2 linked regions of the Alligator mississippiensis genome follow. The protein of the gene in region 1 interacts with the protein of each later gene in a biochemical or structural test. Links are inferred from orthologs where the notes say so. Each region holds a gene or a part of one and is shown in the gene's direction. Other genes may lie near its edges. The genes, in order: ATR and ATRIP.

Region 1 (15,394 bases):
ACAAAAGGTGTAACATTTTTAAATTTTGCTCTTAATTTTCAAATGAATTACTTTTAATCTAATCTTCATAACTGAATACTGTCTGATAAGAAAACAGAAGAGCAAGTATATACTCTTTTAGAAGAATTTGCTCACAGACCTTGATCCAGTAAATGAATCATGTGTGCTGTTAAGTATGTAAGTAGCCCCATTGACTACTCTGATGTTTACTGTTGCCCATGTTCTAAAATGATTTGCTACATTAAGGCCATAAATAATAATTTTTATTCATTAAGTTGAAAGATAATAACTTAAGCAGAGTTGCACTTTATTTCTTCCATCTACACACTTAGGCAGAAAGCAGTCGTTATTGCTAAAGAAACGTAGACAAAATGTAATGTTAAGGTCAAAATCCTGACCCCACTGAAGTCAAAGGCAAAATTCCCATAAACTTCAACAGGACCATCATTTAGCTCTAAATGTGCTGATGTTTTCAGACTCCAGATTCTGAATACAATTCCATGTGCCACGCTGGCAAGGACTGAAGAAGCAGAAACTATCCCCTTGCTAGAGAGCCACCCTGTTTCTCTCTTGACCTCCTTTGGGCAATGTCAGGAAAGGCATCATATCCCTTTGTCATATGGAGGCAGGCTACTACAAGGAGGTATTTTTGAATGATGCACAAAAAATGGAAAAGAGGAGAGAATTGGAGCTCAAAAGGGAACTTTTTAGAACTAGCAGGAAAAGGAGTTTGATACAAAAACGAAAATAACTGGATTACATCTACAAACAATTCAGTCTGGGGGGAAAAAAACACTTGGCAATGTAACAAGCTTTTCACCAGCTGTGAAGGGGGAGGGGGGAAATCAATCAGTCAAATGATAATTATGGGGAAGGAGTCTACAAAAACAACCCAGAAATTGTTCTTTACAAAGAAAAATCATACATTTTAATTGCAATTTAGTCTTGCAACTAACTAGCACTGGGCCAGATTTGGATTACAAAGAAGAAACTTTGTGAAGAATTTGGCTAGCAGTTTGTACAACTGTATTGAATAAACATGGATCCGTTAAGCACTTTTGTAAGCCTTGAAAGTATTGTAGCTTTTCCTATTAGATGCATTTAAAAATGAAAACTCGTCCTGCTCTGGATATCATCAAAGGAACCCTCAGTTCCCTTTGCTAGCAGTTACTTATAGGATGCAACTCTGAAAAAATTTCCTATGCCACTGACCAGCTAAGATAAATTGTGAAACATAATGAAGTCCCTGCTAACTATTTAAAATCTGCTTATCAGAAACAACTCAGTTCTGCAGCTCAGGGTGCCAGAAATCCTTTAAATTAGCATTTAAACAAATACAGTCTTCCTGATAATATAAAGGCTGGGTAAACACAGCTGTGTCTCAAGTCAAAGGTTTATTAGGGGGTGACTCCAAATCTAATCTGAAATTTATCGATTCCTGTAACAAGAGAAAGGGGTTAGCTAATTTTAAAGTAATTATTAGGATAACTTTGAGACTGGAAGTGACATCCTTGGCTAATAACTGCCTTCCATAAGAAAACATATATAAAAGAATGCCATATGAAAATTAGTTATCCTCTCCCTATCATACAGACATACACACGTTGTTTGCTTTATTAATACTATATTACTGAGGTTTAGCAAGGCTGCAAATGAATCTGTGGCACTCTCACAGATGTGCTGTTGTAAGGTATCATCTTGATTCCCTTTAGAAGCATCTACACAAGTAGAATAATTTAGAACCCTCCGAAGTCCAGGAACTAATCCAACAATTTTAATTTACCATTAATAACAAAACCAAGTATATAGAAAATAAAGGTAGCATCTGATGCAGGGATTGTTTTAATAAATTTAATGAAACTGGGTCAATGAATCAAAGATCAAACTATGTAAATAGTGATAAATAATATCACACACAAACTATAGGAGAGGATAGAAAAAGAGAAGTCCCCTTTATTAAATGTTTGATTCTACAACCTTCTATACAAGTAGGTGAATTACATCTAAAAGGTCTTTTAATAAAAGTGACGTAACGGATTACAATGTTGTATAGTCACTATACAGAATTGTTTATATCAATAACTGAACAACTCCCAATGCATATGTAACTTGACCTGGCTATCACTAATTACTGCTTTTTTATATTTATTTTTTCCTGCACCCCTCTCCCCCCCGAGCCACTAATATCCTTTTCCAAAATTCCTTACTTCAAAAAGTATCTAACATTGGCCGGGTGTGCAGTGGACGAACCTCAAGGTTGATATAGACTGATGATATAGTACGATGATATAGTATACCATCAGGGATGGCTTTATTAAGCCTCCCCCAATCCTTTTATACTCCAGTGGCATGGGGTACTTGATCAGATTTCTTTCTTTAGTACTAAGTCCAATGAATTGTTCCTTATTATAAGTCAAGATACTATAATTCCTATAATTGTGGTTATTCTGTTTTCTGGAATCAAATTATTCTACATATGGGTACCACCCAGTGCCATTTTGTTCTGTATTTGATAAACCCATTTATTTAGACCTAAGCACTATCTGTTTTTTATATGAACTTTTACTGTCAAGAATTAAAAGAATTTCACATGCATTTGTGAGTTTTGTGAAAAATATTTTAATTAGTCACTGCTATAAAAAGGTAGGTTTGAGTACCATGTACTCATACCTGATCTGGGTGCTAAATATATGGAGATGAGGCAAGGCTAAGACATCTTTGTATACCTCTACATCACATTTAATATATTGCTTTAAAATGACTTTATCACTTTCAATATTGTAACAAGATGCCTCCTATGCCCCAGGTCTTGTATTCCCTTTGACAATACTGTAATTTGTGATCATTCCTGCATAACATTTTCCTCAATAGCTTTTAAAAAATGCTGTAAAGACCATGCTTTGGGACTTCATGGTGAAGAAATGCAGAAAGTCGGGGAAGGTGAAATCCACTCCTCTAATTCATAGCTAATAGCTATTGCATACATTTCTCACCTTCATGTGGCTCCTAGTTGAACATTAAGCCAATAAGATCTATGGTATTGAAAGGCTATGATACCGTGCCTTTTCCTTCCCAATCATGCCTTCTGTACTGAGCTATAAAGTGACAACATGGAAACCTTTTCTATGGCTCACAGGATTTAGGCATGCCTGTTATTCTTCTGCAAACATGATGTTTTCTACTATAATTCAAATACCCTTTATACATCTTTTTTAATGTTAAGTTATTCAAATTATGATATAGAAACCAAAACAGGTGCTAGGCATTTTCCATATAGGTAAGAGAGAATCCAATCCCAAATAATTTAATCTAATGCATTCATCATGCAAAGTTACAAACATGCTAAAGAACAGATTGTCCCTATTTGCATAATGAAGGCCTATACAGACAGCATATGAATGTAAAGGGTAAAGGGGATAGGAAACACCTTTCACTAGATCTCAATATTTTATATTTTCCTTACTGTTACCTATTCTATTTTGTCCTGTAGTTGAATTTGTACCAACCTGCATTCTGTTTGCCAGTCGAGATGCTTACTCAAGTTACATTTTTTAAATTATTTCTTCAAAATAATTCTTAATTTATTATATTGTGTTTTAAATTATCAAAATGATTCTACAAGAGTTGGATTTATTTTAATGATCAAACCCTTCTGCCATTTAAATCTGTGTTACTTTGTTCTACTCAGACCAGGTGGCACTGAAAAAGAGCTGAGTTTTCCTTGAACAGATATTTTTATGATGTACAGAATAATATCCAAGCCAATGTGTTCAAAGGTCTATCAACCATTCTGCCAACTAGGTTAGCACCTTCATGACCATATATGGAATTAAATCCTCAGTTATCATACAGGCTATCAGGTACAGTTAAAGCACCAGAGCAAACAACCAATAAGTTATAAGGACAGCCTTAGTATCAATAAAAATTAACTTATTGCAGTGCATGACTATTCATTCCACCATCCTGACTGACATTTTGAACAATGACATCCAAGTTACTCTGACTTTAAAGAGAAGTGAAAATTTTCTGGTAAAGGCAGCAGTGATAGTACAGCAACTGTCTTGGTGTGGTTGGTCCTCTTCATATAGCTCCAGAATGCCCACTTTTCAGGACCACCTTTGTCAGCACTGAACCCATATTAACAAAACCGAGAAAATGATTCTGGTGTGGATCAACACTCCAAGTTTCTCTCATAACCAGCTCACAACCAAATGACTAGACTAGAGTAGACCCCAGCTGTCGCTCTTTTGCTCCAAGTCAAAATTAACTTAATTAAAATGTCACCCAGTTCACTCTAAGATACTGTTAAGCATACGGCAGGAAGGGCAATAGGACAGCATGGGATAGAAGACAGAGGATCAAGGGATCAGCTCTTTGGCCCTTATGCAAATGAGAAATGAGGGGGAAGAGAACAGTTCTTAGTGTATACAACTTGTTGATTCTGGCAGGAAGCTTTACGTTTGTGCATACACTGATTCTCCAATCTCACACAGTTTTTGCTACCTGCACAAATCCACACTGACACTGGATGAGGGTTGTGGACATATGGGAGGTACAAAACAATAAGGATAACACTCACTACACAGATATGAATGGATATATTTTCACTAGGAGAAGAAAAATTTGAACTGTGTGTTCAGCCACAATGCACTTCCTCCTTTTGTGCATCCATTTGGGTCATAGTTCTTCAGACAGAAAGAAAGAACATGGGGCACAAAAGTGTGAGACAATGGAATGAAGAAGAAACAAAACAAGGTGAAAAATAGGACAAAGTAGGAAAAGGAGAAATTATATGGAAAGACAAGGAGAAGGACCTGGGAAAAGGGAAACAGGGGAGCAGGAAGCAACGTGGCAAAGGAAAATGGAAGAAATTATCCTCGACCAAAATAAATTATTATCCTGCTCATTGTCTGTTTGCTCTTGGTTATTCTTAAAGGTTTTTTTTTTGTTGGAAGTCAGAACGTATACTTCTTTCCCTGAACAGCTCCCTCTACTGGATACTGAAGCAGGAATGGGTCTGGCTTTTGGGGGCCTGTAAAAAGACATGGGGAACCTCTAGAATTTTTCTCTACTTCAGGTACCACACTGGAATTTGAGTACCAGCTTAAGCAAGATCTCATGCCATTAGTAGCCTTTAGAGATTTTTTAACAGACGGGCAAAGTAAGCACAAACATATTTACCAATAGGGCTTGAAAAAGGTGGTAATGAGGCTTTTGATCATTAGAAGTTTAAGAGCTAGCTTGGGTTCCTGTACAGCACTGCATTATGCCATACAGACTAGGTGTCTGAATTGTATTCCATGTATAGTGTACTTGGAGAAGAGAATCATATGACCCAAAACATTTGTGCCATTCTCCCATTTTGGTTTACAATTAGAATAGCAATAAAAAACCCCAGTACTGGGCCAAACTCCTGGAATCTCCAGATAGCTTAAAGTTTCTCCTAAAGTTACCATCAACTATTACAATGTTAACAATACTGACAAATAAAACTGTCTGTCTGTCACAGGTATAGCACAACAGTACAATTCATAAGTGATTACTTCTGCTTTCTGCAGACTTACCAAGACAGTTTGTATTCTTTACAAATATAAAGGCTAGAAAGCTGTTGGACTTTTAATTAAATAAAGTTTAAATTCTGCAGCACTATGTGCATGAAGGATCTGCCACTGTAATTCCAGACGTGTTCATTCTGACTTCTGGTCTTCCCATGCCATAAAGTGCCATTGGTCAGGCTGCAGTTGGAGTATTCTGTCCAGTTTTGGGTGCCACACTTCAAAAGGGATGTGGATAACCTGGAGAGGGGTCAGAGGAGGGCCACTCACATGGTTAGGGGCCTGCAGGCAAAGCCCTACGAGGAGAAACTGGGGGCCCTGGGTCTTCAACCTCAACAACAGAAGGCTGAGAGGTGATCTTGTGGCCACCTACAAATTCATCGGGGGGGGGGGGGACAGCAGGGAATAGGAGATGCTCTGGTTACCAGGGCACCCCTTGAGCTAACTAGGAACAACGGCCACAAATTGACGGAGAGCAGATTTAGGTTAGACATCAGGAAGAACTTCTTTACGGTAAGGGTTGGCAAAAACTGGAATGGCTTTCAAGGGAGGTAGTGCTCTCCCTTACCTTAGGTGTCTTTAAGAGGAGGCTAGACATACACCTGGCTGTGGTTGTCTGACTCCAGCACTCTTTTCTGCCCAGGGCAGGGGTCGGACTCAATGATCTGCTAAGGTCCCTTCCGACCCAAACATCTATGACTATAAATCTATGTAACGCAGACACCATGAAGCCTGCGTCTCCTGTTTGCTGACTGGGAGCGGCTCTCAAGAGTTAACATCTAATATGTTCAATAAGTAGCAAAAAGGAAAGAGAAACAAATGAAGATTAATCCTAATTAAGTGTTTCAAAATCTTTTGAAATGTCACAGTTCCTTATCATGGTATCACTAGGGCTTTGAAAATACTCGACAAACAGAGAGTTAAATTCAGATGTACGAATATAGGCATGCATGTAACTGAGTGCAACCACTTTTGAATAAAAAAAAAAAAAAGAACTGGTAACCATCACTAACAATTCAATAACTGGAACACAGGCATGCTCGCTCAATTTCCTCATCTGTTTTACATGCAAAATTCAAAGCATCATAGCTGTGGAAACAGGCACCAGAAACAGAAGCCACAGAGAGGATTTTATTTCAGTGTGTGCTTCTCTGCAACACTGTCAACAATGCAGGCAAGACTTCATAAAACAAACACAATCAACTGCCCTCCTCAATAAAGAAAGCCCAAGTCAGGTCACTTCCCTTTAGACAGTAACATCCAGGAGAATATGTAGACATCAGTAGACACATACAAATAAATAGTTTTCTGTGTATTTCCTGAAGTCTGGAAAAACTGTTTACATACGGAAAGGCAAGAGGTGCAAGAGCTTCACAGTCTCAGTCATGTCCTACTGCCTTTCATAAAAAGTGTCTTTAATTTTCCCCCTGGCATGAGGGAGGAGGTTGTCGGGGGGAGATGTCTGACAGGACTGTTGGGCCACTGCTTTTCCAGCACTTTATCCCCTCTCCCGCCTTACCTAGTACAGCTTGTCTTCCGAAGAATGAACTGCACTTTTTAAAAGCGGCCTCTAGTTTTCGCACATACTACATTAAAAGAGCCTCCCGGGAAGAGCAGCGCCCGCCTGGGCACAGAGAAGAGACTGGAGAAGTTGATCCGTGCCACAAGATCCTGCCCCCGCCACGGGAACCCCCGCGGACGCATCTCATCAGGCAAGTGAAGGGGCGACAAGCGCAGCCCGCTCCCCGCTGCCCAGCCTCTGCCCGTCCCTACCTCTGCCCGCAGCTGCTCCGGCCCCGGCCCCGGCCCCGGCCCCGTCCGCGGAGCCTCTTCGGCGGCGGCGGCTGCACCAAGAGTTGCCGGGATCCAGCAGACACCTGCTGTGGGCGCCGCCGCATCCCCCGGACAGGCAGCTGCCAGCGCCAATCGCGCTGGGGTGGGCGGGCCGCTCGGGGGCTGCCGGGTCCCGCTGCTGCCGGCGGCGATGGGGACAGCGAGCACCGCCTTCATCTCCCTGGGGCTCCCACCGCCCTGCCCCTGCCCCGCCCCGCCCCTCGCATGCGGAGGCACCAGGGCTCCTGCGTTCCCGGGGACTAGTGGGGAGCTCAGCGCCCCTCGCGGGGCTGGGCGTGGAGCCGCCTGTCGGCACCTGCTGAGACACCTAGAGCCCCCGGGCCTTAAGTTGCTGAGAGCCTGCCCCCCTGCCACGTGCGGAGCTGCCCCGGCCCCAGCCCCTCCTAGTTACTTCTGGCCGGTGCCGCGCGTGGGGCCGGCTGCGCCGCCCAGAGCCCCCGGGGTGACCGGGACCTGCTCCCGCTCAGCCGGGACCTCTTGAGCTGCCTAAACCCCCACGGGGCGCCCTGCAACCCGCCCATAGCCCGGACTCCCCGGCCCCGGCGTCGCGCGCGCGCGGAGCTGGCGCGTGGCTTTCGTGATGCTCCGCTGCCCCACGGGAAGTCGCTTGTGCTCGTGCAGCGCGCCAACCGAGGCGTGTTGGTCCGCGCCGGCCGCCGTCCCGAGCGCTGGCCCCGCCCCCGCCCCCGCGAGCAGTGGCGCGCTGGGCGCGATGGCGGAGCCGGGGCTAGGCATGGCCTCTATGATCCCGGCGCTGCGCGACCTGGGCAGGTAGGTGCGGCCGGGCGGGCACCTGGGTCCACTGCTCTGTGCCATGAGCGCCCCGAGCGGCCGGGCCACAGCGGTACCCGCGCGGAGCAGCGCAGCGCCGTGTCCGCGGCGGGACAGGCCGGGGAAGCGGCGCTGTGGCCGGGCTCAGGGAGGCACCGATGTTTCCCAGCCTGAAAGCCGGCTCGGGCACCGGGTGGTGCTGACGCGCCCCTTCTTCCCCCGCAGCGCCGGGCCCGAGGACTACCCCAGCGTGGTGCAGAAGCCCAGGCAGATCCTCGGCCAGTTCGTTGACAGGATCCTCACGGATGTGGACCTGGGTAAGGGAAACGGGGCTTCAGGGCGCACCCCCCGCTGCCGAGAGTGGGGCGAAGCTCCCTTGGTTGGGAACAAACCTGTGGGTCTTCTCCCAGCAAAGGCTTAGCAGACCTGAAGCAGTTTATTTGTATAATGACAGGGTTTCTAGGAACACCAGTAGAGTTGAGTGAACTACAACTGTCTAAATAAATGCTAGTGTAAGTGCTTGTGTGTGCCTGCATGTGTGCATACTTGTGTATGCTTTTGCACATGCCTGTGCTTGTGCATATGCTTGTGCGTGTCCATAGATCTTCATCAAGGGTGGGCAATTATTTCGGGCTGAGGGCTTACTGAGTTTTGGCAAGCCATTGAGGGCCACATGACAAGCAGCCAGGGGCAGATAAATATTTATTTTCTAAATGTTTTAGGGACCCCGTGGTCCTGATAAAATGACCCGGCGGGCTGCATTTTGCCCACCCCTGATCTACATGCACATCTGTGCATGTGTATGCAGTGCTGTGGCAAGGAAGTTTGGCTCCTGGGGCAAACCCACAGCAACAGCTCGCCCTTATCCTTCGCACAGCTTGCAGGGGGCAGGGTGGGACACACGTTCCCCTCATCAGTGTTTGTCTGGGAGTGCATGCGGTGGTGGGGGAGCCACCCTTTCCCGTCCCCACGCCTCCCCAAATGAGCTGTTCGCAACTCCATCCTGTTGGCGCCCCTTCGGTTTGGCACCCAGGGCAGTCACCCCATTTGCCTCCAGCCCTTTGCTACAGCACTGCATGTGTGCATGTGCGAATATATGTACATACACATATAATGATGTATTAAAAAGCAAGGAGGCTGCATCATAAATGTGCTCTGTTCGCTGAAGAAATAAATCCTGCCATTCCTTATTTGAACATTTTGCAGGATTGAGTTCTTATTTTGGCATCTTTAGTTTTTAATTTTAGAATGCTGTTGTAACTTATTGTAGCCCTTGCTAAATCAGAGGTGTCAAAAGATCCAGCCTGCAGGCTACATGCCATCAGTGGAGCCACTGCAGGCTACATGCCATCAGTGGAACCATGTCATGTGTCCCATGTAATTAGAAAGTTAGTAAGAGTGAGCAGTGGCAAGATTAATTGCTGTGGCTTGTCTTGATACCAAATTTCCAACCCCATATGCTGGATACAGAGCAGGGAGCTGTCATCTGGCCCATGGGGCTGCCTGTGAGCTAGAAATTTGGTGGTGGATCAAGTGACTGCTGCCTCTCCAAGAGCTGCAACAAGTTATATATTTACCTGAATCCAAAATGACCTTGAATTTAAGAGACCCCCCAATAATTCTCTGTGGAAAATGTATACATTTATTATAGTTTTCCCTGTATAGAATCTAATTATTGGGGAATCATCTTAAATTCACGCCCCCACCCCTGCAGGTGACAAGGGGACAGGCAATGAGGCGACAGTAATGGGGCAGACAGTGAAGGGGAACGTGTAGGGCAGGTGGTAGGGGTGCAGTAATGGGGCAGGCAGTGGAGGGAGCAGTGGAGATACAGGGAGTGGGCAGGCAGGCATAGATTCATAGATTGTTAGGAGCTGGAAGGGACCTCACAAGATCATTGGGTCCAGCCCCCCTGCATTAGGCAGGAAAGACAGCTGGGGTCAGGTGACCCCAACGAGGTGATTATCCAGTCTCTTGAAGATTTCTAGTTGATGCATGGCAGAGTATTGTTTTCCCTGCTGGCTACAGCAGCACACTGATGGCTCATGTTTATACTATGTTCTATTATTACCCCTAGGTAATAATAGTTATAGTTTCAGTCGTGGTGCTAGCAGGGCTGTCCCTAGGGGTGGGCAAGTGGGGTGGCTGCTGTACAGGCCCTTCTGCGGCCTCTGCGCGCTGCCTGCTCCGCGGTCCAGCCACTCCACCGCACCCCCACACAGGCTGATATGCCCCAGGCCCCACACACCCCTAGGGACAGCTCTGGGTGCTAGTCAGTTGAGCACCACCGAGCTTGTAAGTAGTATGTTGGGGATTATTCATCCCCAGATGGAGCACTTTACACTTCTCGAAGTTTAATTTCATCTGGTTCCGATCCGCCCAATTTGCCAGCCTGTCTAGGTCTGCCTGTATCTGCAGCCTATTTTGAAGTGTGACCATGCTACCCAATAACTTGGTGTCGTCTGCGAACTTGGTCAGTGAGCTCGTCACCCCGACATCCAAATCATTGATAAAGATGTTGAAAAACACTGGACCAAGCACGGACCCCTGAGGGACACCACTGACCACTTCTCACTGAGGCGACACAGATCCATTCATTAGAACTCTATAGGTCTTACCCCGCAGCCAGCTTCCTACCCACCTAACTGTCAAACAGTTAAGCCCATAATCCTCCAATTTCCCTGTGAGACCATTGTGGGAAAGTAGATCAAAGGCCTTTTGGAAGTCTAGGTAAACAGTGTCAACCTCCTCTCTTTTACTTAGGTGGCGAGTTACCTGGTTGTAGAAAGAGATGAGATTGTTAAGACAAGACCTGCTCACAACAAAGCCATTGCACATAGACTCCTTGAAGAATTTTTCTAGGATTTTCCTTGGGATAGAAGTTAGGCTAATTGGCCTATAGTTGCCTGGGTCCTCTCTCCTCCCCTTCTTGAAAATGGGCACAACATTGTCCCTTTTCCAGTCTTCAGGTACCTCCCCTGAGCACCACGAGTTTTGGAAGAGTTTCGCCAGAGGTCCCGCAATGACTTCCACCAGCTCCTTCAGCACTCTCCGATTAAGTTCATTTGGTCCTGTTGACTTATAAATGTCTAGCTTTTCTGACTGATCACGTACCGGCTCAGTGTCAACAGTAGGAAGGCGGTCATTCCCACCATGCCCATTCTGAACCTTATCTAGTATGATATTCCCCTTAGTCCAGTGAAATACTGAAGCAAAGTAGTGATTCAGGAGTTCAATTTTCTCCTGAGTGTCAGCAACTAGCTGTCCTGAGTTGTCACACACTTCCATTTGTTTTCCTCCTGTTCCCTACATACCTAAAGAAGGACTTCTTATTGTTCTTGATTTCTGTAGCTAGTTTAAATTCAGTCTCTGCCTTGGACTTTCTAACCTGCTTCCTACAAATGCAGGCCGTTGTTGTATAGTCCTCCTTAGAGACTGTCCCAAGCTTCTGTTGTTTGTATGCCTCTTTCTTCTTTTTCAAGAGGACCATGATGATATCCGTATTAAGCCAAGGGGGCTTACCAACCCTTCTGCTACCTTTCCTCTGCATGGGAATGGACTTCTTGTGTGCTTCGAGGATTGTGTCCTTGAGGAACAACTACTCTTCATGCACTCCTTTCACCTTCGGTCCCTGATCCTGCAGCACTTCCCCTACTGTTGCCCTGAGCCTGCTGAAGTTCTTTTTTGATGTCCAAAACTTTGACCCTGCTAGCTGATTTGCCTGCCTTGCGATGGACAGTGAATGTGATGGGTTTGTGGTCGCTGTCACCCAGGTTACCCTCTATATTCAAGGCACTCACCAGATCATCTCCTTTGGCCATGACCAAATCTAGGAGAGTTTTACCTCTGGTTGGCCTGTGTACTTCCTGAGTCAGGTAGAGCTCTTCGATACAGGTGACTTATCCAACTTAGCTGAGTGCTCCTCCCAAGAGATGTCTGGGTAATTGCAGTCACCCATAATGGCCATGTCCCGTGCATGCGTGGCCTCTGCCAGTTCTTGAGAGAACTGCAGTTTGAGCTCCTCCTCCTGGTTTGGTGGTCTGTAGTATATACCAACAGTCAGGTCTCTCTTACCATGCCCACCCCCCCGGTAGTTTGACCAAGAGGGTTTTGAGCCGCTCTTCTTTGGAGCCAATGTTGGCGTCTAAGGAGGTGTACTGCTCCCTCACATAGACAGCTACACCTCCACCTTTCTTCCCTACTCAGTCCTTTCTGTGCAGGTTGTAGCCCTGTATGGCTATGTTCCAATCATGTGAGAAGTCCCACCAGGTCTCCATAATCCCTACTAGATCATAATGCCCACTGGAGAGTAGGAGGGCTAGCTCTTCCTGCTTGTTTCCAATGCTCCTGGCATTAGTGTACAGGCACCTGAGTCCTCCAATTGAGACCCTTGATTTCCTGTCATGCTGAGGGAGAACCATTCCCTCAGCTCTTGGAAGAGTGGCTGTCCTAGTGTCCCCAACTTTGGAGCTTACTTGTGTGCCGCTCCCCAGTGTTTCACCATGTCCCACTGATCTAAAGCCCTGTCTAGAAGCTTGGTCATCGTGGCCAAGAACAGGGACTTACCTCTCCATGTGAGGTGGATGTCATCCTTTCCCAGGAGTCCTCTCTCCCTGAAGTGTGCACTGTGGTCACAGAAACCGAAGCCCTCTTGGTAGTGTTGGCTATATGATCAACACGTGGGTTTGGCAAACCGAGGTTTATTGCATAATGTATGGATAACTCAGGCAAATTTAGCAGTTTGTATAAAAATTACTCTTACTCATTCACACCAAGTCACTTATTCGCATCACTTGGAGTCGCACATTAGCAGTCAATAAAAGCCAATTGCCGAGAACATCGATTTTCCTTTTATTGGTGCTGATACGATATGGACCAATGTATCAGGGTACCTCTAAGATAAAAAGTGTTGTGACTTGTAGAGGTTACAATACAAGTTTCCATAAGGAAAGTGTTTATTTTATCTGAAGAATTATTAAAATAATTACATTTCTATGGTATAGTATTAATGGGAATGTTTATCTTTTTTTTTAAGTTGCTTTGGAACTTGCTAAGAAAAATGATTCTCTGCCAAGTTCTGTGATGCTGCTTGATTTTATTCAACACATCATGAAATCTTCTCCGCTTATGTTTGTAAGTGTAAGTGAAAATCTCCCAGAGGCTGAGTGCAGTTGCATAGGTGAGTTCGGTTTTTTTGTTTGTTTGGAGTTTTTTGGCGTACTTTAATTACAAGAAGTAGTCTAACACAGGAATCAGCAACCTATGACCCATGGGCTGGGTACAGCTTTGGAGCCATTTTATCTGGCCTATGGAGCTGGGGGTCTTTGTTGATGGCAGGGCTTTGCCCATATGGCAACCAGGCAGTGGGAAGAAATGGCAGTGGTTGCACCGTAAGAGAGAGTGGTGACTGCAGTTTCAATGGTGGTTGTGTGACCTGGGTTGGAAGTAATACTACTCCTGGAGCTAAGCTCTAACAGAGCAACCCCCCGTAAAGTGTTGCCAACCCATTGCCTAACATATATTAAGGTCAGCTCATTACACAGACTTCCTTTATCTCCATATCTGTTCTCTTTCATGTGTTTGTACTGTATGTTGTCAGTGAAATGAATCTCTGATGGCCTGTCACTGTAAACATGTTAGACTTGTGCAAATGAAAATAGGTCAGTACATATCCAAGGACAGATTTTTGGATTTCTTCATCAGATTTTTTGACAGATTTCTGGATCGTTTAACCATTAAAATACAAACCAGCTCCCATCTGGGTCGAATCCTAAATGACATGGTAACTTTCTGTTTTTCTTTTGGATTTTGGCAAGTACCATAAAATATGGTAGACCAAGGAAGCCCAAGGACAAAGTAAGGCAGGTCAGGTCTCCTGACCAAAAAATAATCTCTTCAGTTAGAATTCATGCCTTCCTTTTCACACTTTTTAAAAATCTCACCTGGGAAAGCTATCAGGAAACCCCTGTATGCCTACGATAGAGGGAAAGGAGTGGAACACAGATTAACAGTTTGAAACAGGTGTATGTATGGTAACAAGGTTAGTCACTTGCATAAGAGCAGGCAATGACTTTGAGCAGTCACAATAGAGGAGGGGACCTGTGCTGTAAAGAACGGTCAGCCATCAGTTGCGGTTTGAGATGAATGCCGAGGACAAGAGTTCTTTATAGCATAGTACAGTGTTCTGAGGCTGCCACTTATATTTCTTTGTTTTTCTATTTTTAAAGGTTACATATTAAAGGAGCAAACAATAATTAAGGAAGAATCATTTATACCAAGTGGTTTTTACATAACCTTCTTAGCATATGAATCACAATATTGTTTTTGTTTTGTTTTCTTCCTAGAATTTAGTAATTGGATCATAACAAGGCTTTTACGACTTGCTTCAACTCCAAACTGCCACACGTTACACAAGAATATCTGTGATGTCATCTGTTCTTTGCTCTTTCTTTTTAAATCAAAGAGCTGTACCATTTTTGAGGTGCTAACAGGAGACTTACTACAACTTTTCCAAGATCTAATTTTCTTGCATGAAAGAAAGAGACAGAGGCAACTCCACGGGGGGTTGTTAGTCTGGCCAGTAACAATAAATAGATTTTCAAGTAACAAAAATGATAATTTAGAATATTTAAGCTCAGCCCCATTGCAATTGATGGGCATGCCCAATGTTGAATGCTTGGAATTCACATTAATAACCATTCTAACTGACATTGTTCCTGATTTGTTTTGTGCAAGACAGGACCTTATTCTGTGGAGAATAGGCTGCTCTCTATTGGAGTATGGTAGTCCAAGAATTAAATCCCTATCCCTGATCTTTTTAGTAAAATTAATACAACTAGGAGGACCTCCAGAACAGCTTGCCAGTGCCTTCTTTATGGCCTTCTTTGGATTGTTGCAGTCAATACTTGAAACAGATGTTGAAAATTTAGAACTCTTTGAAGAACCTTTGCTGCTCTTGGTGAGGACATTGTTCCTCTTGGAAGCAGATTCCTATAGAAGAATTGAACCCATCTACCTATATATACTCCTAGAGAAGCTTTGTGCATTGTTTGAAGCAAATGTGCTCAGATACATCCAGTCTGAAAAGCTGAAAGATGCTTTGTGTCATATACTGCAATATTTTCTGAAGTTTGTGCCAGCTGGATATGAATCTGCTTTACAAGATAGAAAGGCCCATATTGGCACCATATGCACAATTTTTGTTGATGTACTTG
Region 2 (16,072 bases), on another chromosome or scaffold:
TTCCACAGGCTTAATCCCCTGATTAAGTCTGTGGAAGCCCTTGATGTGTTATTAAGCAATCTTAGTGGTCATTAATAGCTTCTGCAGGTTTGATCAAGCCCATGGAAGCCATTAATGGTCATTTAAAATCTTTAATAACACATCAGTTAATGGCTTCTGTGGGTTTGATCAGGCAATTAGGCCTGCAGAAGCCATTAATTGATGCATTATTAAGAATTCTAAGCAATTAAGATCTAAAATGAAATACAGTATCTTAATAAAATAAAGAAATGTACACTGTGAATTGCAAGTAATAACAACTACGTACACTTTATTAACTAATACCAACAATATACACTTTAAACAAGGACATTATAAAAGGAGTTTGCTGAAACTGAATGCTAACCTTGAGGCAGGCAGCTCATGCTGTGTATTAAATGTGAATATGCTGCACACAGACACAGTAGCTGCAGACATTCTCTGTCTCTGTGGGGTGAATACTTGTCCATACACTGAGATGGCATGCTCAGTGTCCACCAAGTTCATTGGAATGGTAAGGCAGTGTCTTGCCAGGGCATAAAGATATGGAAACTGGTCAGAGTCCCAGAACATAGCATGGACACAGGCATCTTTGATGAAGTTTACATAAGCAGCATGTTCATTGCCATGTTGTTTCCCCCATCTCGGGGTTGCTTTCAGTAGATGATGGTCAAAACTTAGCAGACACCTGGTTGGTGTCCAAAATGTGAACATCACTAAGGAAGGGTGCAGCTGGTTTTCTGAACTGTTGTGGCAGTGATGGGTTGTACCTATAGTACTGATTCAGCCTCACAGCTCGTGCCTGGAACAGATCCCTTCTGCACTAGTTTTTATGAGGACAGCTGGACAATTCTTGCAATGCCATCTTCAACCCAGTTTATCAAATCCATCCCCCTCTGTGTGTGGTGGATCACAGCCTGCTGGCCTTCAAACCACATCAGTAGCTTCATTAACCACATGGCATTGTCAGCCACAAACATCACTTGATCTTAAAAGTTGCCTCATCTTAAGAGATTGCGAAGCTTAAGCATGCACTGTGTGCTGGGTGTGATTTACAGCTCCTCACTCTCAAACTGCTGGTAGTACTCCATGTGCTTGGTGTGGTAATGGACTGTGTTGAAACATGAATTGCACTGTGTGAACACAGGCTCTGGTGGCAGCAGCACAGTGTCATGTGAGTCCTCACTTTGACTGGTGATGGACTCCTTGTACCAGACCTTATGACCTGAACAGGGCTTGAAAGCTTTCCTGAAAGAATATACCAGGCTATCCACCTCGGGGAACTGCGTGCACCAGATGTCACTTATTAAAGACAGAGTGTGCACATTGCAGATGACATAACCAGCGTTCAGTAGCATTCCTTGGAGCCCATCAGAGGAAGTTTAGGTTAGTTATTAGGAAAAACTTTCTTACTAGGAGGATAGTAAAACACTGAAACAGGTTACCTGGAGGGGTTGTAGACTCTCCATCCTTGGAGATTTTTAAGGCCCAGCTAGACAAAGCATTGGCTTGGATGATCTAGTTGGGGATGGTCCTGCTTTGAGTTAGGAGGTTGGATTGGTGACCTCCTGAGTTCCCTTCCTACCCTAATTTTCTATGGGAGTTTATAGATGTGCTTTGGGAGCAAGGGGTGAGGACACTTTAATTAGAGTGGTTCTGAAAGCACCTCTCACCTTGCCAAGATGCTTTCTGTGGTCCTTTTAAACAGGGAGGACATAGTCTCTAGCTTCTTGCTCTGACATTCAGCCTCTGTAGCAGCCTTCCTTTTCATGTGTGCCTTGGACTCCAAGTGCTGAAATATGCTGGTTTTCCTGGACACATCCAAAATTACATTGCAGGAGGTACAGAAGAATCTGTCTCCATCTATGTGCAAGGTCCCTGCAGGATACTGCCTTGAAAGGTTCGGTGCTGAAATGTAGTTGGCCATCTTAGAGGATTTCTTTTTAGCAGACAAGCTGAATAAGAATCCTCCTCAGACAGGAGTATGCATGCTGCAGGAGCATAACTGTGGGCACTTTAACAGCTGGCATCAAAACCCTCCCGCTTCATCTGATTGGCTCCTGAACTGAGCCTACATCAGGGGCTCAGCCTCTGTTTTTTCCCTCTCCCTCCTCTTCCCTCCCACCCCATGCTTCAGGGCACAAGGGTTTCCCACTCTTTTCTCTACTTGCAACTGTTTTATTTTTATTTTTTTTGTACGCAGCAATGCTGTGCTTTTTTGTAGGGCCTGCCTGAAATCGTGGTTTCTGTGAAAATTGCAAGATTGTCATTTTGGTAAATCCCTACTTACAAAAGTGCACTTATCCAAATGTGTAGTTGTTTTACCATACAGGGACAGACCACAGGTCCATCTAGCCTAGTTCCCTGTTCTTCAGTGTCAGAGAGTGGATTGCTAAGGGGGAAGAGTATATATGCAGGGCCTATCTGGACTGAGATGTTACTTGCCCTGCTTTGCTTACATCAGGGGTGTTAAACATGGCCCACAGGCCAGATCCAGGCATGGAGCTGTGTCATCTAGCCCAAAGAGCTCCTGGAGGGGACAGGAATTTGTGGATGGGGTAAGCATGAGGGGAGGCAGGGCTGGCCAATGAATTTTGGGGTACAGTGTTAGGGTAGCTTGTCATATTTAGCTTTAGTTGAACCTGCTTGAATAGTTAATTATAGTATTATTTGAACTTTTCTTTTATATTCAGCTTTATTTAGCCATTGCTTAAGTTTCTGTATAACCTCATTATTATTTGAGCTTTTCTTTTGCTCATGTTAGTACTATCAGCTACCCTTGATCTTGCTTTTACAGGCAGCTTATGTTCCAGAGTTATCAACATAGGTGTGTATATTATGAGCCTTGTTACTAGCTCAGACTAACTAAACTTGGCACTAACCAACTAAAATAGAGGGATGACATGATTGGATATGTTAATGAAAGGTGATAAGGGGGGACCAATTGGAGAGTACCCAACTGCAGAGCCCCTGGGATTTCTGGAGTTGATAGACAGACCGAATTACGAGTCCAGGGCATGCCCGAATTAAGACACTGGTAAAAGACCAAATTAAGATATGTGCATATGATGGGTTTGTTGGGACAAAGGAATATGCTGACAGGATAAAAACATGAACAGTAGGATGATCACAGGGAAACCAATCAATGTTACCTGGAAATGAAGAGTCATCAGAGGAGTCAAGTTAAAGAAAAAGCGTAAAAGGGGGGTGTGATGAGGTCCATCCCTGGGCCTGTCTAACATAGGCCTAGCCCTCTGTCCCTAGGCTACCCACCCCCCTCTCACCTGCCATGCCTTGATGGAACAATAATTATGATGTTACTTAGGTGGGAGGATGCCCATTTACTACCCCAACCCTAGGGGTCAATATCCAGTGCTCCAGACCTCCCCTACACAGTGGCCCACACCTCACAGATGGTATATAAATGTTGACCTGGGCCCTAGGGCTCTGGGTCTGCTCGATCCCTGTTGCCACGCCCCTTGGTGCTGCACCCCCCTGGTGCTGGGGTCTGCCCACCCCCTGTCAGTGTGCCCCTTGGCAGTGGAGTCTTCCCTGTCTCTATGCCCCCTGGACACATTAGGACATAATAGAAGTCCTACAAGCCATATTCTGGCTCCTTAAAACCCCCAAACTGCCCCTTGAGTATTGAGTACCTCCCAGCTCTGGGTACGTTGTAGAGTCCTGGAGCCTCATTACCATAGCAACAGTTCAGCCAGCAGCCACACATTCCTGGATAGTTCTGCCATGCAGGAGCTCTCTTCCCTTGGCTACTTGCCAGAGACTTCCTTCTGTCAGCCTTGGCCTTGGGGTTTATATGTGCCCAGAGGTCTATCCCCTTCCTGTCCGCTGACCAGTTTAGGTGGTTGGGCTATTAACCCCTACCCTCCTGGTGCTTGGTGTTCCTATAGACTCAGGTCTTAAAGGGGCAGCCCTGCCTCCTAGTAACAGGGCTAGGATTCCCTTTTACATGGGACAAGGAAGTTGGGTGTGTGTTGTTGTCCAACAACATCTGGACTAAAAAACAGTCAGTACCCATAGATGACCAGCCTCTACTTTCAGGAACTGATTGGCCACCTTTTTGTGAAGTGGAATAACATCTGGGATTCTGAGACACCACTGAACTAAGTATTTTTCTGTCTCTGTGTAGAAACTATTAGTACATTTAATGCATTAATAAAGTTAGATCTTAGTTAAGTTGAATGGTGTGAGACATATTCTGTGTTTGCTCTGGGTTGATTATGCTTTAGTGATCCTTTAGCATCATGGGTGCATGACAGCAGAGAGGGTATGTTAACCCCCGCAGCTCCTTGGTTCACCACCAGCTGGATCCAGCTCACAAGGAGTCCCACAGTTCAGCTCTGGCTTGGTGGGGGGCAAACAAGTTTGACACCCCTACCTTCTAGCTCCCAGCATTTAGAAGCTATTCAGTTCATTCATGAAAGGGCTGTGAAAAAGGAATATTTTGTCTATTCAGGAGAAACAACTGAGGGAATCCTAGAAAAGTATCATTCCTTCTTACTGGCTATGGGAGCACAACTACTCCTGCCTCACCACTTCCACCACCAGACTGTCACTCCAGGAAGGAGTCTATTTTAACATCTTATCATCACCTAGTTTCCAGTGAGGTACTCCAACTTCTTCAGGATGTACTAATGCAACTTTGCTCTGGCACTGAAAAGTATTGCCTTTCTCCGGGGTGTGATCATGTCATGTAAGTCACATTGCCATTACAGTTGACAAGGTCAAGACAGCACTATCTTCTCCAGCAGTAGGAGAGCATAGCATGATGGGCTATTTCCCAATGCAGCGTACAGTGCTTGGCCATCACTTAAGAGGGTTGTGTCTTTGAAAGAGGTGGAGGACTGCAAAATAGGGAAGATTGTTTGGATCATCAGCAACTGGGAGACCACCATGGTCCAACACTCTCTAACCAACCCTCAACTATCCAGGGAGAATCCCAAGGGCTGGTGTGGTGTGGGTGCTAAGGTGTATGGTTGACAATTCAGAGATTGCAAGACATGAAAAAGAAAGGAGAGAGTCCCAGAACAGCACAAATGAGGATCATCCCCAAGGACACTTTGGAGGTCACCACAGGTACCTTGAGGGTTTGGGGGGTGACAAATGGACAGGGATACCCATCTCAGAACCTTGGGGCACACGTACTAATCATGTTTGATAGAGGCTGTTGAGATGGAAAGCCTAACATGTATAGGCCTCTAAATCACTGTAGAGAATTGCAAAGGCAGCAGAGGAAATTACTAGAAATGCAAGATAATACAGGTGCAATTCATACAGCACCTAGGATGGGGTCCTGGTCCATAACTGGTTCAATAGGAATATAAATAATTAATTACAGTTAATGACAAACATCCTACTGTTGGGAGTTAATTATCAATTTAGTCTCCAATTATCTAACCCTGCCCAAACAGCGGTTCTCTGTCAATTAACCCTCTGAAAGGTGGGGTAGTTCTTTGCCCAAAGCATATCTAATCACCACTTTTATTAAATAAATAACTCAGAGAATTGTTAAAAGTATACAAACAAGACAGTTTATTATAAAACTAACAAGAACAGGTTAGTCACAGAAATATACTTAGTCTTCTATACAAATCCTAACCCAACAATATCTTATCACAACAACGACAATAAAAAGGACTAAACTTTATTATAAGGGACAGGGGAACTTTATTTAGTTCTGCTCCGGTCACTGGGGTAGAGATGACTGCACCTCAGGCAGTGGCTTCTAATCTTCTTCAGACACGCACCAAGAAGAACCCCAATAACCCAGAAGAGAAGAACAGAATAGGGTAATGATTACGGATCAGAGCAGAGGGCTGCTACTTACACACCTGGAGGGAAGAGCCTGGGGAGCCAACCCTTTCTGCTCTGGTAGCAAACAAAGGATCTCCCATGGCGACTGGGCCCAGGAACCTCCGCGGCTCACACAGTGGATCCGTCACTCAGCCTCTCCGTGTGTGTCTCTCTCTCTCTCTCTCTCTCTCTCTCTCTTTCCTGCCAACAAGCACCCTGACTTCTTTCAGTCCAAAACACTCAGTCAGACTCCAATCACACACACACACACACACACACCTCACACCATTTCTGTCCATTAAAGCCCTTTATAAGGGTAGTGCACCTGGCACGCCAGGGCTCTACAAACGGCACATGGGTGTGCCCACAGCATATTCCAGGGCCTCTTGAGGGTGGGTCAGATAAAGGTCATCTGCTGACCTACTTAACATACAACTAAATGAGCCAAGCCCCGATTTCCACCATTACACCACTGTGTCATTCATGGTGTGAAATCATACTTATAGAAAATTATACAATAACAACAATGGTGTACCCTTCACTGCACACTTACCACTGAAGTATACTGTTAAGTGCATCCCACCACAAAATGAGTTGACACAAGACACTGGTCAACAAATACTCAAAATACTAACTATTGTGACATTCCTAGGCTCCAACTTTTATTTTTGCTAGGCAGGGGCTTAAGATGATGCTCCCTCTCCCATAATGGCATGGCTGAAGCAGAGGTGAGCAGTCTGTGGGGGACCAGGGACAGATGAGGACGGCCCACTGTCAGCTTGCAGCTGCCCACCCTGCTGCCTTCCTCACAGGAGCTCCATGCCAGCCGCACCAACATGACGAGGTGCCCCCTGCCAGCTCATCAGCACCAGGGGGCACAACTCTGTGCCACTACTTTGGCTGCTGCTGCTGGGCAGGCAGGGGGTGCCTCACCACAGTGGTGTGGCCAGTGTGGGGCTCCTGGGGGGAAGGCAGTAGGGCGGGAGCCCCAAAGCTGCAGCGGCCAGGCTGCATCCACCCCTGCCTCATGCACAAATCTGGGGGGGTATGTGCCCCCCACATTCTTCCTTCCTCAGGAGTGCATCAGCAGCAGAAAGCACCCCTTTCTCCCCAGTGATGAGCCACCCCTGGCTCTCTCACTCCCTGCCCCAGGCCCCAGGTATTGCCCTGGCTGGACAACACCCCTGGCCAGGCAGTTCCCCTACGCCCAGCCCCTCCCTCACTGTGGGGGCCTCAGTCTGTTCCACTCCCACCCCACAGACTTCCCCGCAGGCAGCTGGGGGAAGCTGCTCTCCACTGTTGCCTGGGGCTGTATTCCTGGTCACATGCATGTGGACCCCCTTGAGTCTCACCCCACAGCCCCCCGCAGGCTGGAACTCTGCCAGCCTGCAAGGGAAAACCTGCTGTTTTCCATGTTTTTCCACAGTGAAATGAAAACTCAGATCCCTGTACAATACTGGGAATCTGGGATAAATGCTGCCCCTGAGTCATGTAGCTGAGGACTGGGACTTGATGTTCCCATTTCAGGACTGTCCTGCCCAATTAGGGATGGGCGGTTACCCTACCCTCTTCTCAATGGGGGCCAGGGCCCTTGGGCCCCAATGTACTCGGCACCTATGGTGTCACTGCAACATTGCCATTCATTACTGTATTGTACCAAGGCAATGCAGTATCATGACACTACATCATGGTACTGAAACATCAGGACACAATGGCAGGACATTCCAATGTGCTCTGCTAAATTAGCTGTCACAGCACCATGATATTGCTTAGGCTGTGATGTTACCTGCTAAGGCAGTGATTCTCAAACAGGGGACTGGGACACTTTGTGATGCCACCAAATCCTTTGAAGGCTGCCGGGAGGTGTAAGGAAGAAAGCAGATTGTTATCAAAAACCCAGTACTGTTTGATTGTTTGAGAGAGACGAGACTACAGCCCGTCTATGATCAGGACTTCTTTACAAGCTTAGACACAGAATTCAGGAACAGTTACAAGTCCCTTAGAGATTACCTTTTTTTATACCAAATCAAGATACAATCTGACTTCCCAATTATCTCACATTCCTTTTTACCAGGTATGGTATTACTACCACCCTAGTTAGAACAAGAGACAACAGATGCTTCTATAATCCAACCTTTTATTCATTACACCCCAAAGCATAAGGTAAGCAATTATCTCTATGCCTATCTACCTACCTGCAACTGCACAATAGCCTTATCTTCTATACTGGGGGGAGATGCCGGGAGGAAGAGGAAGGTGCCATGCAGGCTTGCAGCAGGCAGTCTTGAACTTGCTGAGGTCTTTCCTAAAATTTCTGTTTATACCCAATATGTATACATTGCTCATTTAAATATTCTGGCTGGTGTTATTGTGTGGACTTGGAAGATGCCAACTAGCTGGGGTCTGGGTCCCTGTAAGAGGTGCAGTTTTGGGAGACAACTTCTGGTCTCTCTCTCATCATGTGGGAGCACTACTTGCCACCTTGTGCTCTTTTACTTTGCTGACTATGCCAGTTGAAACCTCTGCAGACATCCAATCCTAGAGAAGCTTTGTGGCCTCCTTTAGCCACACTTCTGCAACCTAGCATAAGTCCCTTGAAAGCAGCTGAGGCTAACAACAGGGTCACAAAGACATATTGTTATTGCAGGAGGATTCCAGCAGACTACAAACAACTCCATCATCATCACAAGGCAAAACATCGCTGGTTCTTCCTTGCTCCTGTTACACTTCTCACAAAAAAACAGTTCATTCCTGGCCCAGCCTAGCACTAGGGGCTTGATAAACAGATTCTTATTCTTTTTCAGGCCACTGCTCATGATTTAAATGCAGCCCAGCTTCAGCACATACACCCCCAGCTCAGGCTTTGCCCGGTCCCGAGTATGCACCGGCCAGTGCACCTGGCAGTCCCGGGCCCACAAGAGAAGCAGAGGCCGAGGCCCACCCGCCCCTCTGCAGAAGGCGACACGGCAGCGCCCGGCATTGCCCAACTCACATAAGCTACCATAGCTCATACGAAAGAGGCTGCGAGCGGAGGCTTCGCCAGGGGCAGGCCGCCGTGCCGCGGCTGCTGGGGTATAAGAGCTCCGTGCTTAAACCACAAGCGGCGCGGCGCGGCGCGGCCCGGCCCGGCCCGGCCCATCTGGCGCAGCGCTTAAGGGCGCCAAAAAGTGCTGGAAGCCTCGCTTCCTTTCATGAGATGCCGTTGCCAATCAGGGACAGCCTCACAAAGCCGCTTCTAACTGCCAATCGTAAAGACTTTTATTACTAACATTTCCCAGACTGCTGTTGTTTGACCTCTGCAGGTCCCGGCCGGAGTGATTCTGCCTGGGGCTTCTCTGATTGGTCAACGAGAAGAAATGGTCGCCGATTGGCTGTGCTGGCTGGCGGGTCTCGCGTATTGCGCGGGTCGGGAAGCTGCTCCAGTGCTGGCAGCGGTGGCTGGTTCTGCTCCAGGGGAGCAGCGCTCCCCGACCGTCTGCCTGCGGAGGGGCCGTGACTTGGCCGAGGGCGCACACGACGCATCCCGGGCTACCTGTCCCGACTGGCAGGAGCCAGCACTCTGAGCCCCGTCCAGTCTGCGAGGCTGGGCCCCGCCGGGCTCCTGCGGCGCGGCCGCTGCCCGACGCTCAGCGGCCCTTGTCCTGCGGCTCCGCGTCTGTGGCAGGCTGCGCCGAGCGTTGGCTCTGCAGGCAGGTGCCGGGACAGCATGGCCTTGAGCCGCTCGTCTGGAAACAAGAAGCGGAGCGGCGCCTTCCTCTACGGGGTGGATCCGACGCAGGTTCTCTCGTCACCTTCCACCTGGCAGGGGGCTACCGCCGGGGTCGGCTTCCCACCCAACAAGCGCTACAAAAGTGTTGATGTGGGGATGGCCCAGAAGGCAGAAGATCTCTTTGGTGATAATGATGACTTCACTGCTGCTGACTTGGAAGAAATTGATATAATTGCCTCCCAGGCACTGTCACAAGGCCGGGACTCAAATACCCTTCCTAGTACAAACGTTAAGAAACCGGAGCAGGATGTCAGGCCGTCCTTAATGCTAAACATCATCCATCAGAAGTCTGTGAACGTTAGACCGTGGAACGATGCTTCCAGCGCTGAACAAAATGCCAAAGCCGGGCTTGGTATGTGCAAGCCAGTACGTGGGCCTGTGGCGGGGCAATTGGCACCCCACGTCTTCGTTCCCAGACGTGGGGTGATAAGGCAGAGCTGATAAATCCATTCTAGCTGGGCTACTGAAGGTGTCTGAAAGGAAATAGGCCGTGGAATAGTCTCATTCTTTAATTTCAGCTCAGTAGTAAATGTTACTGTTGACAGTTTCATTTAAATCAATGAAGCCGTTCTTAAATATCAGGACACAAGGGAAAAATGTTTTTCATCGGTTGGGAAATCTCTTCCGGTGCTTTCTCTTTCTTTGTGTGTGTGTTTGGGTAACTCGATGGTACAATTTTTGGAGTTGTCGCCTGCAAGTAAACAATCGGCTAGATAGAAAGCACTACAAAATGTATGGTTCAGTCATGCTGTGACGTAAAGAAAAAAGCTTGAGGGAAGCCATTATGCCAAGTGTGTGTGGCATGGTAATGCTTTACTATAATAAGTACCTGCTTTGTGTATGTAACGTCTTCCATCTAAGGAATTAAGCCAGTAATTCTCTACAAAGGTGTCTTGAGATAATTTCAAGGGTGCCTGGGGGTGCTGTGCAAGTGTTAAATCAGCCCTTCATCCTTTCAAAGTAGGTACAGTACCTTGAATTCCTCTTATTTTTTTCTGTAGGTAAAGTATTTCAGGGAGGACTAGAAGAATCTGTGTTCTTGACTGTTCAACCCAGATATGACAGGTTTTAGGGCATCTCTCTGAGCAGCAGCATGCTGGTCTGTGCTTCATCTTTCTCCATCCCTCTTCCTGACAACTGTGCTGCCTGGTTATGTTTTATTTGTTCTGTGTGTATAGTTTTTGTTGGACTTAGTAAACAGCATTGAAATGTGCAACGAATAACTGTATGGTAAATGACTGACTAGTTACAGCTGAAGAAGGCTAGTTTGAAGTTGCTAGGCAAAATGACCTTAATTGGATTGCATACTTGCATTTTTAATGTAGTTTCTCAATCCTTGTGTCTTGTAAATAGATCCTGTGGTAGTGCATGCATCTAGTTGCAGGTTTACAGCCTAAATTTGCATCCACTTCATATTTTAAATGGGGTGGAGGAAGACCATAGAGAATATTTGGTATTCTGAGTTTTTTCTCTGTGGTAGGAATATGGGCTACCTATCCAAAAGATCATATCTATTGAATTTGGTTCAACATTTGGGTATAGTGTATTTCATGGTGAGATCAGGGGAAAAAATTTTAACAAAAGTAAAACCAAGAGAAATGACTGCATGAATTTAGAAATCTGGTGGAATCAGGCTTTCACACAATCTATTCACACACTTATTGTGTGTTTGGATTACAGACACATGCAGCTGAAAGTGAGATAGTATATACACACTTTTGTTTCTAGACATCTTTTGTTGTATTTGATAAAGTATATTGTGGTATAAATAGCAAAAGAAACAATTTCAAAATCTGATTTAATTTTACAACTTCCAGTATTTCTGTGTGTTCTTGTGAGCCTATATGCATGTTTTAGTAAAGTAACCATGGAAACTGTAAGTATGAACTTCAGGACTAAAATATTAATATGTATGATGATGAATATAAAAATATTGTGATATTAACATTTTATAACCTATATTACTTCAGAGTGAAATTAGTATTACTTCCTCTTTTTCAGTAGGAAATGGCACAGAAGATATTCTGGTTAAAGACACATTTCAATTTGAAGTACTGCAAACACAACATGAAAACCTTAAGGAAAAGGTTAGATACTTTTCTTTCTTTTTCCTAATTGTTTTTTGTACCATTCAGTACAGCATTTTTAAAGTAGTTTTGAGTCTTCTTTAAGTTTTAACTGAAGATCTTTTTAATTTCATTACATTATTCACAAGGGTAGAAGGGCCACCCTTTGTAAAATACATTGGAGCCAAATTGTGCTGAGAGGTATCAATATCTTGAGTTTCCGATATAACATGAAACTACAAGGCACTAATTAATCATGAGTTTCAGTCCAGCCCTTTTACAGTAGAAAACAGAGAATCAAATATTAGTTGGCAGCTCTGTTATGTTGTTTCCCATTAAATCCATATTTCTTACCTGTCCCTTGTCATTCAGAAAATATCTGTTTTGCTTAAGTTCAGGGCTTGAGATCAATGCCATGATCTGATGCCATAAATTTGTCTGTGTATTTACCTCATTATATGTTTGAGAGAGAATGTGAGTCAGAAGTGGATGCATGGTAATTGCCATGAGACTCCCTATGTAGCATAATTCTTGGGACAGTGCACTACTTGCTGTGTCTGTTCTAAGATGAGTTGATGAGAGCTGCTTGACTGCCTTATTGCAGCTATCTGCATGTTACTAGGGCAGGATGAACCCAGCAGAGGATATAAACTACATTTCCCTTTGTGCATTGAATGCTTAACCAAGGAAAGACATATTATTACAGGGGGAAGAATAATCTGAGAAGAGTATAAGAGGTGTCAGGGGGACCCAGTCTGTGTTTTGATAGACCTAGTACAGGGGTGGGCAATTTTTTGGCTGGAGGGCTGCTTAACAAGTTTTGATGAGTTGTCAGGGGCTGCATGGGTAGCCCCATCCCTTAACAATTGTCCCACCCCCTGGTTGCCATATTGGGAGCAAAGGTCTCACCCCCTAACTCCTGACCTTTGCCACTGGAAATCCATCCTGTTACCTCTTTCCCCTCCCCCCCCCCAGTACTCCTTTTGGGACGGTGGGGGTGGTACTATCTTGGAATCAGAAAGAAACCAAACCATACACTAGAAGTCAAACACCTGCTATAACATATTTTAATTTTATTACAAAAAATATTTGCTATGATTTGTGTTTGTGTAATGTATATAGAAGGGATTGCATAGTAACTCAGAAATAAAGTCTCGCTCTTACATTGTGTGTGTGTGTGGTAAGATGGAGGGTGTAGGGGGATTTGTGTGGGGGACATAGAGTATATTTGGGTGTATGTATATGTCAGTGGGGGTAGGGTGTGGGTGTGTGAGGTTTGTGGGGTGTGGGAACATCCCATGGCATGCAGCCCATGCTGCCAGCAGCAGCAGGCGGATGGGGGGTGGGGAGTGGGCTGAGGATGCTCATACCTGGCACAGGCTGGCACCCAGTGGAGCATGGCTCCAGCCAGCGCTACGTGCATGGGGTCCATTAGCGCAGCCTGTCCAGCTGCCTCTGGCTCAGCATGGTACACCTGCAGCTTCTGCACTCGCACTGGGGAAGCCCTGCACTGGACTCTGTGGGGAAACAAGGGGCAATACTCCTTCCACTCCCAGAGGAGTCCAAGGACCTGTGCAGCAGGTTGCAGAGAAAGCAGCCAGCTCTAGCACGCGGCTACCCCCAGTGCCAGTTGGGGGAGCTGCAGGCACATAGCGCAGAGCAGCTGGGCAGGCTGCACTCCTTGCCCTTGCGCGCAGTGCTAGCTGGAGCTATGCCATGCCGGGTGCTAACACCTGTGCTGCGCATGAGCACCCTGAACCCCCTCCCCCACCTGCTGCCGCTGCCAGTAGTGGGGGAGTGTGTGTGGGGGTGTCCCTACAACCCCCACTCTACCTCACACCCACACTGCCTAGCTGAGCTCCACATTGTGCTCTGTGCTTCCATCCAGCTGCCACTCCACCTCTCCTCACCCTTGCCCGGCCCTGCCACTTCCCTACCTGCTACCCAGTGAGCTGGGCATCTGGGAAGCCAAGCATGTTCCCATGGAGCAGCTGCAGCAGGAGCCCTGCCCAGAAGCTGCTGCTCGCCAAGCCAGGCCCTTCTGCTCACAAGGATGGAGCACAATTCATTGGGGGGCGCCATGGGCTGAGTGAAAGTGCCTGGTGGGCCAGATGCATTCTGTGGGCCGTATTTTGCCTTCCCCTGACCTAGTGACTAGTCATTTTCAAGATCTACTAACATAGACTGAGTTTGGGCTTGATAGTTAGAAGCTGTACTGAAATAGCAGTTTGGCTTATCTGAACAGTGTAAGAGGTTTTTCACCAGGAATTTTAAATAGGCTATACTAATGTCTCCTGTTCATAATGTTTTGATGTTGCAGCCTTCTGGGATGACCCTTTTTTGACTTAATTAATCCATAGTGGTATACATCCATGTTTCTTAAAGGTATGCTGTAATAGAGTGTGTTTGATATTTGCAGCTGAAAGAAATGCAGGATGAAATCATTTTTAAAAATGGAGAAATTAAAGTTTTGCGGGACTCAATGCAGCAGTTGGAGTCTACCATGGAGGAACAGAGAAGATCAAATATGTTACTGGAAAAGGAGAAAACCCAGACCCTGAACGAAAAAGAGAGAGAGTTTTCCAAAAAGGTCTGTGAAGGACAACTGCTTCAGCTATCTAACAGTTTGCATGGAAAAGCTGTTTTCTTTACTGATTACTTAATATGTTGCTGAAGCCACAGTCATTGTGAAGTCAAGGGAAGGACATGTAGACTAACTTTTCCTCTAATCCGGTACATGTTCTTTATACTGCAAAATTATTTATAGCTAAAACTAGATCACTGAATTATGTGAAAAAGGGGAGGTTTTTCTGAGTGAAACTACACTGTACATGAGCAAAACTTAAGTGATTAATGTGGGCACCCAGAATGGCAGCCTTATAATGGAAAAATTTAAGAGCACAGAATCTATGATTCTATTATCCAATTTCTGTTTCTTACGTTCTCAGTTTTTCTCCAGTGCCCTGCAGAAGGTGGTGGTGATAGTGGCTGCTGTTTACTCCATGAGTAAGGTCCTTACTGAAGCAGTCTCACTTGGTGACAGTTGTTGCTTATAACCGTCATGGTGAACCTGCTTTATTATTCTGATATTTTCTGTACTACATATGCCCTTATATAACTGTCACTTTGAATTGTATAGGAGAGGTTTGACGGATTTTTTTTTTTTCATAGATTGCAGTTAGTTGCATTGTTGTCTTGGAATACCATAGATATTTGGAATATGTCATTCTTCCAAGTTGTGTGGTGTTTATTGTAAGATGAGTCTCATTTTATTTTTTTCAGTTACAGTCCTTGCAATCACAATTGCAGTTTAAAGATGCTGAAATGAATGAATTGAGGACAAAGCTTCAGAACTGTGAAAGGATTAAGTCTGTTGCTTCGTCAGTTTCAACTGTCAGGTATTGAGTAGTTTTTGTAAGGTAGAAAACTTGTGTGTTATTTAAATAGAGTGAATGTTATGGGAAATTACTGCTGGTGTAACACCATTGACATCAGGAGACTCATGCAGATGGAGAATCCATGGCTCTCTTCAGATGCAAAAGTTGTTAATAATAATGATGATGATGATAACACTGCAACAGTCTCTCTCTTATCAGTGCATAACAAATACCTCAAGTGAGCAGGTATGTAAGAGAGGCAAGGATTTATAGTGATGTGTTTATTGACCTGAGGAGGGGTACTTGATGAAAGATTGTCTAACAGCTCTCCCAGCTATATAGTTTGTCCAATAACAGATGTCATTAAAAATCCTTGCCTCATACATTTCCTGCACCACTATGGTGCCAACATTTCAAATCTACTACAAGTATGAATGGGCATACTGAAATCTGAAAAGCATAAAGCCTTGTTATAGTTAGCAGCTGTTTCAAAACTAAAGAACTAGCAAAACATTATCTAGTTTTAACTGTGAATTTTAGGGGTTTTAAAATTTTTAAAAACTTGTTTTAAGTTTATTCAAATAATAATTTGGCTACAGTTCTGAATTGTTTGCCATTTTAATCATACAATTCAGTTTTCCAGGGCATTACGTAAAATAATATCTATTATATTCCAGACCTAGAGAGATGCTCTAATAAGATGTTTATTCTCTGACCAGAACACCCGCACTGTACCCATCTATGGCATCTTTCTGTAGAGTGAAAAGATGTAGCTAGTCCTACAGCTTTATGAAAGGAAGAGAGGAGAATACAGAGGAAAGTATATAGAGGAAATTGGGAACACATATCAAATTCCTCCCCTGACTCAGACTGCACTGCTCTATTTACCAAGTGGTGGAAAATGGGCATAAACAGATATACCACTGACAAGGGGAAGAGATGACATGGGAGGGGTGGAGTTTAGTTCTTGTGAGCACGTATTTGTTGTAACTGGCTTGTCTGTTTTGCAGTGATTTACTTCAGAATGATAT

What was found.
Region 2: the proteins of ATR (region 1) and ATRIP form a complex in vitro, tested with the Homo sapiens proteins (4 studies listed by BioGRID and IntAct, with this or other methods). The link is inferred for Alligator mississippiensis from reciprocal best matches to the Homo sapiens genes ATR and ATRIP.

What each region holds. Positions count from the first base shown.
Region 1 is NC_081830.1:56,492,447-56,507,840, reverse strand, and holds the start of ATR (serine/threonine-protein kinase ATR), read left to right. Parts: upstream 1-8,073; 5' UTR 8,074-8,121; coding exon 8,122-8,180; intron 8,181-8,405; coding exon 8,406-8,497; intron 8,498-13,215; coding exon 13,216-13,359; intron 13,360-14,524; coding exon 14,525-15,394. UniProt on the Homo sapiens protein: Serine/threonine protein kinase which activates checkpoint signaling upon genotoxic stresses such as ionizing radiation (IR), ultraviolet light (UV), or DNA replication stalling, thereby acting as a DNA damage sensor.
Region 2 is NC_081835.1:37,253,542-37,269,613, forward strand, and holds the start of ATRIP (ATR-interacting protein), read left to right. Parts: upstream 1-9,127; 5' UTR 9,128-9,535; coding exon 9,536-9,950; intron 9,951-11,599; coding exon 11,600-11,685; intron 11,686-14,083; coding exon 14,084-14,254; intron 14,255-14,946; coding exon 14,947-15,062; intron 15,063-16,072. UniProt on the Homo sapiens protein: Required for checkpoint signaling after DNA damage. Required for ATR expression, possibly by stabilizing the protein.